2 linked regions of the Drosophila melanogaster genome follow. The gene in region 1 interacts genetically with each later gene. Each region holds a gene or a part of one and is shown on either strand. Other genes may lie near its edges.

The links. Genes that interact genetically often act in the same process or in processes that back each other up.
Region 2: of PolA1 (region 1) and mei-41, changing one enhances a phenotype caused by changing the other (phenotypic enhancement), as found in Drosophila melanogaster (one study listed by BioGRID).

What each region holds. Positions count from the first base shown.
Region 1 is NT_033777.3:21,666,014-21,673,405, forward strand, and holds PolA1 (DNA polymerase alpha subunit 1), read right to left. Parts: upstream 5,738-7,392; 5' UTR 5,633-5,737; coding exon 5,617-5,632; intron 5,559-5,616; coding exon 5,364-5,558; intron 5,311-5,363; coding exon 4,292-5,310; intron 4,227-4,291; coding exon 1,666-4,226; intron 1,606-1,665; coding exon 1,127-1,605; intron 798-1,126; coding exon 601-797; 3' UTR 549-600; downstream 1-548. Other genes in the region: Jhbp16 (juvenile hormone binding protein 16), read left to right, coding at 1-123, 240-513; CG31176 (uncharacterized protein), read right to left, coding at 7,347-7,392. UniProt on the Drosophila melanogaster protein: Catalytic subunit of the DNA polymerase alpha complex (also known as the alpha DNA polymerase-primase complex) which plays an essential role in the initiation of DNA synthesis.
Region 2 is NC_004354.4:16,390,179-16,394,745, reverse strand, and holds the start of mei-41 (meiotic 41), read right to left. Parts: upstream 3,049-4,567; 5' UTR 2,986-3,048; coding exon 2,759-2,985; intron 2,700-2,758; coding exon 488-2,699; intron 431-487; coding exon 137-430; intron 63-136; coding exon 1-62. Other genes in the region: TH1, read left to right, coding at 3,392-3,454, 3,571-4,283, 4,354-4,567. UniProt on the Drosophila melanogaster protein: Serine/threonine protein kinase which activates checkpoint signaling upon genotoxic stresses such as ionizing radiation (IR), ultraviolet light (UV), or DNA replication stalling, thereby acting as a DNA damage sensor.

The sequences.
Region 1 (7,392 bases):
CATCGTCTACACTCAGTATTTCCCCGACAAAAGTCTGGAGGGCGAGTACGAGTTCGCCGCCAAGATGCTGGGTACTGAGATGAACAGAAAAGGCCACTGGAACCTCACCCTCTACGATTACAGGTGGGCACCGAGTTGCATGGAAATATGTATTTCCCAAGCTGTGTTGCAAACACCAGTATTGTTGATAGCTTTTGGCTTACATGACAACCTATCGCTCACTTTATTTACTTCCTCAGTCAAACCACCAGCGTTAGGCGCATCGGCGGTCCGGGCTCACTCATCAAGGTCCATGTGGAGGTGGACCGCATCGGCGGAATGGAGCTGCACATTGAGAACTTGCTGCAGGGACAGCCCCTCAACCAACTGGCCGATGGAGTCATCAACAGCATGTGGCAGCTGGGATTGCCCTTCATCAAGCCGATGATTAACGAGTTGGTTAGCACGGCATTTACGGATATATTCAACGAGTCCTTCCGGCACTTTCCGCTCGAGAAGTTCCTCGCCACGTGACCTCATCTAGTTAACCATACTGTATCTCTGTATCTCTTTTGTAGTATTTTTAATGGAACTTATAACAAAGGCTAGTTAATTAAACACTTAGACCACATCCGCCAAAGCACTCGGAATTGCTTCGATCTGGGGCTGCGCCACGGACGGTTGCAGGGACATCTGAGCCAGGGATCGGGCAAAGAGCTTGCTTAGCGAGATGATCACGTAGGAGGAGCTCTGCAACTGCTGATCCACCGTTTCGTATAGGAGTTGATAGGCCTGCTCCAGCTCCGGTGTGAGGGTGGCTTGATAATATGGACAAAATATAATTTCAATATGAAATGCTGTAAAACTTAATGATACCAATCTTAAGGGAAATATATGTATTAGGTGTCAGAACTAATATATAAACTACAACAATTTTTAAGAATTCAAGGATACAAGCATAAAGAACTACTGAAATCCGTCGAGATCACGGGAACTATAAAATATTTCGACTGATTTTTCCTTTCATGTGTCTTGTTATTTAGTGTCGATATTTCTCTCTCGTACTCCACATTCTTCATTTTGTTCTTATACACAAACTATTGTTTTAGTTTTTGATACTGCTTATAACTACATTGTATTTACTTACGTTTTTGCTGCAGCGTTTGCTTGCCGAGGTCGAACATGAATCGCAGGTAGCACAGCTGATTGTACAGGTCCCGCTCCGTATACTGACGCAGCAGGCTGCCGCTCCTGCACTTTTGGCACAGCGGGCGGTGGGATTTCTTCCTCAAGGAGTGTGTGCGGGTGTTGAAGTTGCAATCCGGGTGATCGCAGACCAGCCAATTTTTATAGAACCGTTGCACATACTGCCGCATGGAAAGCTGCAGCTGATTGCGCACGCTTGCCAGGTACTGAATCGGTGCCGTTTGGCACTCGGACTTAGCGCATTGCTGGAGTACGGCTATGTGGGAGTTGCTTGGACCCGGTCGGTACGCAGACGCCATCAGCTGCTCCGTCTTACAGGTAACGCACTGGAAGCGGAACGGTTCGCACAGGCGATACAACTGCAGAGTCGTCTTGAGCAGGGACTCACCCTCCGACTGCTCGGTGTTCTCTCGCTGGGTTCTACATAACCAAAATATTCGTTAGGTTAGAGTTTGTAAGGAGTAATAAGATAGTAAGTACCTCTGCGCATTCTGACGGAACTTGGTTGGGTCCATGCCCAGACACTCGGCGATGCGACTCGCATCGGTTCCCTCCAGCACCTCCACCATTCGCGTGACTACCGGATGGATCTGGTGTCCCAGGTAGTAATTCGTGTCCAGCTGCAGCTTCTTATCCTCACTGGTCTTGAGCTCATCCAAATGGTATGCTCGCTGCATGGCAGCATTTGTTGTCCCATCCAAACAGATCACATAGTCCACCATATCGCCCTTTTTGTACCGCCTATTACGCTCGCGATTCATACGAAGGGCCACCTGGACGTGGGGCAATGAAGCACTATTGGCATATTCCTGGGGAGTCCGAGTTAACTGTTTGGTGATGACAAACAGTGGCAGCGGTACTACACCCTCTGCAATTTGAGTTTTGATCTTCTCCAGTTGGGCATGCACTGCATCCAGTTTCTCCTCCAAAGGCTTTTCCGACAGCACTTCATCGAGAACGGCTTTTCCCACCATTACAGCCAGCTGAGACCAATCGCGACGTACTATATCCAGGCCCTTGTGCTCCTGTTCACGCCTCAGGTTTCCCTTGGAATCCTTGCTCAACTTGATAGCGGCATACTTCTTTTTCTTCAGCAAGAGCAAACAGCCAAATACTCCATCGATATCCAATTCCAGCTGCTTGTATAGTTTATTTACACTCTGCTTAATATTGTGACCAATCTTGTAGACCTGGTCGTAGTCGGTTATGTTGGTATTTATCATCAGGGAATCTGTGTCTCCATAAACAACGTCATAGTTCATCTTTTGCACGAGTTGTTGTGTGTTCGTGAGGATTTCTCTGCCCTTGTGGGTGACCAAAGCAGCCAAGTGCTGGGCAAAGAACCGGGAGTGGGCGAAACCCAAGCAACCATACATGGAGTTCGCAGTTAGCTTCAGGGCCATCTGCCGAATGTGGTACTGCATCTGGAGTTCCGGCGAAAGATCAGGCGCTGCCATTAGCTTTTTCACCTCTTTTCGCGACTCCACCAAGCGTTTCAATTGAAGGGGTAAGATTCCAGGTTCCGTTTTCGAGTCGGGTAGGGTGGGCAACTCATCTGCATCCACCGGCTGTTGGACGGTGGTGAAGCATATGTTGTACTCCTGTATTATACTGGGGTACAGGGAGTTAAAGTCCATGAGGAGAACGTACTTCTCGTAGAGACCACGCATGGGCTCCAACACTAAGCCACCAGCATAGGCTGCCTTCTTTTTGGTTTGCATCGTCGCATCTGCACCTGAAAGCGTAGCATCCGTATCTCCTGCACCACTTCGTTTAGAAACCGGCTTCTTGTCCGGCACTATGTAATTCTTCTCGTGGAAGGCATGCAGCAACAAGAACTCATTTCGTTCAGAACGACCTCCTTGAAGGGTCCTGGTCATGGTATTGCCGCAGATATTAGTGATTTGTAGCGCCAACGGCATGATGTTGAGCTCACACATCAGCCTTAGTAAATATGAATTGTCCTGCATGGTGAGCGATATGAGCTTGGTAATGCTTTCTCCTTTCTCATACATCTCTAGCAGATCATCGGCATTCACTTCCATTCTCTCCGATTCCTTAAGCTTCAGTACTTGTTTGCATAGCGTTTGCAGATCATAGGATCTTGCTCTTATACACTCCTCTGCAGATCGCTTTACATCACAAACCATTCTGCCGACGAAATGTTCCAGCAATCGCTTGCCAAACGATTGGCTCAGCCTCAGTCGCCCCATTCGAGACCATTGGGGAATCTTCAGGGCTACAATTTGATCGGTTATTACATTTAGTTGACAATCCATGGAATCGAAGGTTACAATGAGATCTGCATCTATTTTCTGGTACTGAGCTAAGAACCAACTCAACAGGGCTCTCTCTGAGTCATGTTTGTGCACTGTGGTAGACTTATATTTTGCCATCTCAAAGTTCAAATCTAAAGGCCAACTAACCACCGCCGGGCGAGTCAAAGCGCACATATGTCGATTGAAAGCGGGCTGTGGAGCAGGGCGGTCGATATGGAAACGATTGTGGGTCAGCATGGAAATCATGCATATCTCGTTTCTCGATGTTTTCGGATTCATTGAGGTGCGAACATTAAGCGATAGTAGCGTAAGTGGAGGTGGTGGCGCTGGCTTTCCCTTATCTTGCACCAACTCTACATTCTTGGGCTCTGTCAATGTGACCTCGGTGTTACACCAACTCATGGGAGTTGGGCTCACCTTGAATCCAGTCACCTGCAGCCAACAGGGACCTTTGATTTTCCGATCTAAGAGGAATCTTTCGAGTGCATTGGTGGTGGCGCCGAATATGTGTGCTATAGAATTGTATTTCTTGTCAGCCGACAAATTGGGCAGTGGTTTCTTTCCATCGTAGTGAACCTCCAAGTAATCGCAAGATTGCGGAACTTCAATACCGATAGCGTGATGGGCAAAACTCTTGGTGACCTTGCGGGATCGAAAGAACTCGAGCTTCAGTTGGTTTGCCACCTCGCTGTCGAACTCCTTGTATATGTCTGCGACGGTCACCTTCTGCTTGGTGGGCTCCTTCGAAATGGGATCTAAGAGCTAAAAGAATATATTCAGAAACAACACTTCACCTAAGGACTAAGTATTTGTAGAATAATACTCACAAATTGTCGGGGCAGCAGATAGAGCACACGGTTGATGTTCTGTACACGCAGACAGACGGACTTTCCATCTGCGGTCCGACCGAACAGGAAGACTTCGCCGGGCATTTTTACTGGATCCTCATAGGCCTCCCAGTACCAGAACCGAAGCTGTTGATCTGAGGAGATTGTCGAATCCTGCTCCGTGGTGAGCACGGACTTTTCAAAATCATCGTCCATTTGGCATATAGACTCCCAATTGTTCAGCAACCTACTAATGTCCTCCGATTCCGATTCCTTTGGCGATCCAGTTGTTTCTTTTTTGGGAGCTGATTTTTCGGCGACTTTGCTTTGGGATGTTTTCTCAGCTGCTGTTTTCGTTTGGGAAACCTTCTCGGTCTGCTGTGTCTTCTCCACATCAAACTGGTTTTCATCGTCATCCAGACAGCTAAAGTCCATTTCATTGTCGGAGAATGGATCTTCGGTGGCTTTTTTTGCAGGTGTCTTTTCAGGCATGGGCTCTTTTTTGATTGTAGGACTGGAGAAAAAGGCCACCTTTGTGTTTGGAACTGCTGCCTTGGGCTTCAGAATGCGCTCCAGCATCTCGTTATCGCTACTGGCCTCCGCTTTCTTACGTTCCTGCTCCTGAACTTTGATGTTGTTTAGAAAACTATTCATGTATTCCTTGGCAGCGGCGGCATCGAATTTACGCGACGTAACTGATATTTTCGCTGGGGCTATAACCTTTTCCGCCTTTTCTGACGTCGCTGCAGGCTCTTCCTTTATTTCGCCCAAAATATCAGCAAGGATATCATCGTCTTTCACACTGGTCTTTACATCCATCTTTTTGGGCACTGCATTGCTGAATAGATTCTTGATGGATGCTTTTCCTGTTACTGGTTTTTCATTCTCCCGTGGTCTCTTTTTGCTGTTGGGGGCAACACCCTTCTTCTTCTTCGAGTCCTTCCGATCCTCCTCCCCATCGGAGTACTCATCTTCGTCCTCGAAGAAATCCCGAAGATCTTCTGCATAACCAGTACCATCTAAAAGTTAAAATTTAGTATTATAAAGTATAGAGTTCAGAGTTCCAACTTACCCTCTTCGATCCAATCGTCACCGTACTTTTCCTGCGCCCTCTTCGCGTACTCCCGCTCATCAACCACATCGTATACATCGTCCACCTGGTCCTCCACTTTGCATTTGTTCTTGGTTCCCTTCAGCTGACGCAGTCGCTCCATGGCGGCGAACCTACCATTTTTGTCTACTCTCTGGCGCTTAGCGCGCGGTTCAGCTGGAAATTTATAATTTCGGTAAAAAATATGTTTAAGGGAGTTATCTTATTAACTTACACGGTGATTCAGACATTGCAACTGGCTAACTTTGATAATAATTTCCCCGTGTTGTGCTGCAGTTTGCAAAAATTGTTTTGTGACCAGGGCTGGAGGATGATCAAAGCGGGAATGGCGGGAACATATCGATAACAGAGCTACGATACATAAAGCGCTGCCGGACTTTTGCAATGTAATATCGATAGTGTCGTTAAGAAGAGGAAGAATGTAAGGAAATTAAAAAAAATAAAAGCCATACAATAACTTAATCCCAAATTGCAATTTTATTATTAAGTAACATCTCTATTTTATGAATTTCTGAGTGGTAATATATCGATAGGTGGCAGCGCGTTATGTTAGCTCTGGGCACTGTTAGCGTCTAATCTGTAAGCACAAATGATCGATTACAGTTAACACGAATAGTTAACATAACAGTTACAGCGATTTAAAATGACTGCTATATTTTGGCGGGAAATCCGACCTGATAATTGAAATGAATTCACCAAGTAAGAAAGAACAATGATCACCATTTAAAGGGCGTTCTTTTAGATTTTACATTTTCGAGCTTCAGCTTTTTAATTGCAGTGGATCACAAAAAGAAAAACTTTTCCATTAGCAGTTGCTCCATGAAGATCCCCTTTTAATGTGCTTGTCATATGTTTTTATTCCCAAATTAAAAGACAATAGTTTGTTTGGTTTTAATCGTATTTTATTTATCATGCATAATATTAGGCTTATAAGATATATATAATATTATACTTTAAATACAATATACAGCAATTTCGATTAAAATTTGTGTGGATTTGAAAGGTGATTTCATACCCTATATAATTATCAATGCAAAATCATGGTTTATATATATACACACATACACAAAACAGACTTACATATTACATGAATACATATATTTATGACTATATTTGCTGTTTAATTGTTATAAGCAAAAATTCGTACATATTTACAATTTAATAGTAAATATTTAGAATTTCTGCACTTGCAGTCGTTATATTTTACAATTATTTTCGGGTGTGTTGGTGAGGAAAGATTTCGGAAGATGAGAAAATATGGAAAATACTGTTTTAGGATAGGGTGATCGAGAGGAACTATAGAAAGGATATTAAAATGTCAGTCTACCAGAATGTACAGCAAAGCAGATAAAATAAGATAAAGGAGGGCAGTTAAGCAAAGCAGATAAAATAAGATAAAGGAGGGCAGTTATTTAGGATCCTTGAGGTATTTTCTTTAGCTATGGGGTGTGTTATTCATTTCTATATGGTTTTCATTTTTATTTCAAGCCACAGACATGGCACAACAATTTATTATGTTTTTTTTTTATGTTTTAAGGAATTTTTCTCCGTGTATGGTTTCCATAGTTTTGGCTAAACATTTAACAACAGCAACAAATATAAAAACAACAAGAAATAATCGTTAACAAGTGCAAGATGATACTGAAATGAAAAGAGAAGAAAAAGAATCAATGAATAATTCAGTTTACAATTGGTTTAATATTATACTATGTTATTATGTAACTATATTAAATCAGAATATAAAGTGGGTTGCAATTCTTATTCCAGTATAATTACATTGCTTGCTTAAATGTATTTCATATTTTTCTAAAGTTTATTTTGTATCAAAGAATTATCTTGATCTGGAGTATTCTTAAAAATACTTAAAAAACAAAAAGTAAATGTTATTACCTTGCTCTGTGCCTGCACAGATGCAACAGATGCTAGACCCACTGTTCACGCCCTTCACACCACCTGCACGGTGGCAAAGGCACTAAAGGTGACCTTCTTG
Region 2 (4,567 bases), on another chromosome or scaffold:
AAGGATCGCATCACGAATGTGGGGTTTCGGTTGAAATATATAAGCAACTCGGCCACCGTTTGCTACAAGTGATAACCAAATCAAATAAAATAAAATAAAAGATAAAATAATAAAATATAAATTAACTTCTGCCCACCTTGACATCCGCATTCATTAGCTGTTGCAGGCTGGACTGGGTGCAACTGACCACCAGCTCGATGCAACTATTGGCCAACTCCGGTTCCTCGGTCAGGAAGACGTGTGTGTAGATCCGCAGGAACGAGATGGAGAACAAGGTGCCAATGTGTTTCTGCATTTGTTTGGCTATCAATACCAAAACTCCCTTGCAAAGCGGATTCACGATGCAATGCGGCAGGACCATGGCAGTCAGAAGGCGATGATACTTGCAGGTGAACTCCTGAACGCACGTGAATCCCAACATTTTCGTAAGCTGCAAACAGACCGGTCAAATTTTGGGAAGTGAAGAAAAGTTCGTCTATTTACGCACCGCTCGGAGGGATCGGGTGAAGCGTACGCCATCCAAAAGATAAACGTTCAAAGCCAGGCGAACGGTGAGGTCGAGAGCATCTCGCTTGTACCAGTTCCACAGATGAATCGTCTGCAGACCCTGGCTGGCACACATCTCGGTGGCCGCCAGCACAGCTTCTTGCGCCACCAGTGAGCGAGTGTGCACCAGAAAGAAGAATGTCATTTTGAACCAGTGAAAGAGCCAGATTTCATTATCCTCCATGTGCGCAATGGCGGTCAGTACGTTGAGCATACTTCTTTGCTGCAGCACATTTTGCTCTGTCAGTGGCTTTGCTAGCATTGCTTTTATAGCAGCTAGAACAAGATTGGCTAATTGCTCCAAGAATTCTGGCGAACGCACACGCATCGCAGAGACCAGCTGGCCGATAACCTTAACGCTAACCTTTTGCAGTGCCTCCGTTTCTCTTAGCAGGCCAAGAATCACATTGGGTTCAAAGCACAGAAGGTCCAGATGCTGGGCAATACATTCAAAATCGGGATAAAACAATAAATCATTTGCTATCATTTCGAGGTTGGTGCTTGAAAAGTCTGGACATGGCAGCTGTTGCTTGCATTTTCCGAGGTAAATACCTGGCAGTTTCTTTGGCAGTGGCCTGCATTTCGGGCAGTATAGCTCAATGCGATCTTTGACTTTAAAGACACTCAATTTACCTGGCTGGGAGCAGAGCAATAGGCGTATAACTTGAGCGCGGCCACTACGATTGTTAATGGTGGGCAGAGCTTTCATCAGTTGCTCCGGCTTTATGAAACCCGATATGTACAACTGCGGAAGGTTGCTACAGAATATCTCCTGTGTCTCCTCGGATTGAAATAGCCTCATGTACTGCTGGGCATAGAAGCTTTGCATTTGGGTATGAACACTAGAAGGTGTCTCCAAGCGAATGGCGCAAAGGTAGGACAGCTTCAAATGTCGCTGAAGAATGGCCAGCAGCTGGTGTTGCGTTTGAGTCTTTAAAAAGTGCCGGATGAAGGTGATTTGCATCAAAAGGGAGCAGATTTCCAAGTGTATGTGTCTTCGGTCTGCGGAACACTTTGATTCCAGCTCAACCAGCTGCATTGAAAGGTTATTCCAATTGGTATCCGCAACCTTTATGATTTCACACTGCAGCGGTAACATGGCCAGAACTGAGGAATCGATGTGACCTTCGTGCTCAGCTATTTTATGCTGACTCTGTGACAGAATTAGTTTCTCCAGCTGCTTGAAGCCTCGTAAAATAGCAATCAGTTTCTGCCAATCCTTCGACAATACTTCTTCCTTCTTCAAGATTTCAACGAGACTTTGGGTAAGCACTTGGACCACTCCTGAGCGCATCTCAGTCTGTTTCAAGCCCATTAGCGCCAATATGGGCACCAAATGTGTGGGGTGGCAGTGCCAATGGCTTAACATAAGCTGCTGCAAGTGCACCAGTTGCTCCAATGGTACAACCGAATGCTCTAGCTGGCCTTGAATATAGGAACTTAGGGTCTCCAGCAGTCCATCGTCCAATTCAATGGCTGTCGGCAAACTAAGGATCTCGTTCAAAAGCAGGTAGCCAAGATGGTGGGCTGGACGTGCACGCATATGCAGAACTTCTAGCAGTAGCTTTGTTGTTATATTGAGCCGTTTTAGCTCCTGGCGCGTCATACATCCCATGTCCAGCCACTTGGCTACTGCCGACCACATGATTGCCGTCGCCTCCAACGTTAATTGCGCATAATGTCCAACGTCCGGATTTGTTATCCAGCTGCTGGCCGACTGTGATCGTAGGACATTGTGACAGTAATTCAAGCTGGCCAGTTTTGTGTCCATGTCGCACTCCTTGAGGATTAGCAGAGCCTGATGAAGGCTGCCCGAGAAGATGTCGCCGTGCGTGGCGTATCCAATGTGATGGGCATGCTGGAGGACCTCCAGCAGGCTCTTGGCATACATGTCGGCTTGCTCAAGGGGCACCTTGATGTCCTCGATAGCGCAGTGCGGATCGAACTCCTGCAGGCATTCCACATCGCATCGGAATATTCTTACAGTTATGGCGGGTTTTCGCTCATTACTCAATTGGCCGAGGTCCAGGGAACTTAGCTGAAGGTGCGTCTCCTCAATGGCTTCCACATAGGCCAGTACAAGGCGTTCAAAAAGCTTAGGATGATTGGAACAGCAGGAGCTCAGTATTTTCCTTTGAAGATTGATGCACTCGCTGCAGCAGAAAAACGGTGTGTCATAAGTTTGGAGTCCAATGCTTGTGGCTCATCTTACCTGCTATCTGGAGATTCACTAAGGCACTTGGCCAGCTTGTTGAGCAGCCAGAGTAGGAATGTGTCCTGGAATTTGTTGTGCAGCTCCCGCACCAACGAACAGCTTATCAGACTCGGCTCCTGGCACAATATGTCTTCTATAACGCTGTACACGCCGGAAAAGTTGCTTACGTTCCGGTTTACGTGGTTGTAAAGCAACTTCCACATATCCTTCCGTTGTGTCGACATTTTGCCAAGTTTATTTAAAACTCGCAAAAACGCGACCTTTGTTTACGAAAGCCGGCATTCGCCGCACTTGTGGCTATCGATATGTTTGGCAGCTTCTTCTTCTTTTTCTTGAATAACAGCCACGTTCCAACTGCGATTTTACATATATTAATTTAAAAAAAAATTAGTTAATATATGTTTACATTACCGCGTTTTACACTTATTGACAATTTTCTTTTTCTCCTCAAATTTAAGATTTACATTGCATAATATGAAATTAACAGAAGAGTTTGCTAAGTGTAAACGGCGCATAACCCGCGTAGGTGTGCGCGTCGTGGTTAACAATTTACAGTCACACTAAAAATGCATAGTTAATCAAAATAAGAAAAATATTTTTATGTTATTGTAAATAAGTTTTTGAGAAAAAATGGAAGTGGAATACGACGACTCTGGTTGGCAGGGCCGCGCCAAAGGACAAACCAATCCGGAGGTAATTGAGTATAGAGCGTGTACGGCGTGGCAGGCAATCCCGGCAATTTGATGACGCTACTAGATAAACCATAAAAAATAACAACTAAACATCATGTTATCCCATCCCAATCGAAGGAAACGCTTGAGGACAATCCGCAGAAGACGATACAGGAATGCCTGGAGAAGTTCCTCACACCGGACTACATCATGGAGCCGGGGATATTTACGCAGCTGAAGCGCTACTTTCAGTCGGGCGGATCTCCGGAGGAGGTTATATCGATGCTATCCGAGAACTACAAGGCGGTGGCCCAGATGGCCAACCTGCTTGCGGAATGGCTCATCCTGGCGGGCGTCAAGGTTACCGAAGTCCAGGCCATGGTGGAGAATCATCTCAAGGAAATGATTCTTAAGTCCTTCGATCCCAAGAAGGCGGACACCATATTCACGGAGGAGGGTGAGACGCCCGACTGGCTAACCGAGATGATCGACCACTATACGTGGCGCTCGCTAATCTACCGACTGGCCGAAGAATATCCCGATTGTCTAATGCTGAACTTTACAATCAAGTTGATCTCGGACGCGGGCTTCCAGAGCGAGATCACTTCCATTTCGACAGCGGCACAGCAGATTGAGGTTTTCTCGCGGGTTCTAAAGACCTCGATCGTCAAATTTCTAAACAATCCGGATGATGTGCACGGTGCCATTCAGGAGTGCGCACGAATGGTCTGCCATGGCCAGCACACTTACGTATACTCCCAGGTGCTCATCCAGGTCCTCAGCCAGGAGCAGAAGGGTGGGTTCAACATGAAGCGGCTCTCTCAGGAAATTATTAAATACGCCCTGCAGAAGTATGAAAATAACTGACGATTCCACATAGTTAGTCATAACATAAATCCTTTCTTTTGCTTCATTGTTTAGCAATCAAAATGTAACGCCTATTACAATGGCCCTGAATGGTTCGGCAGTCTATCCGCAAGCATGTCAAGCCCTAACTTCCATGCTCACCCGCAATACACTGAATCCCGCCGATATCACCGTGCTGTTTCGCAACTACTCCGGTTCCGATCCACCGCCCATCGACTTGATACGAAACCCCCAGTTTCTGGAGCTACTGGTAGACGCGCTCTTTCGT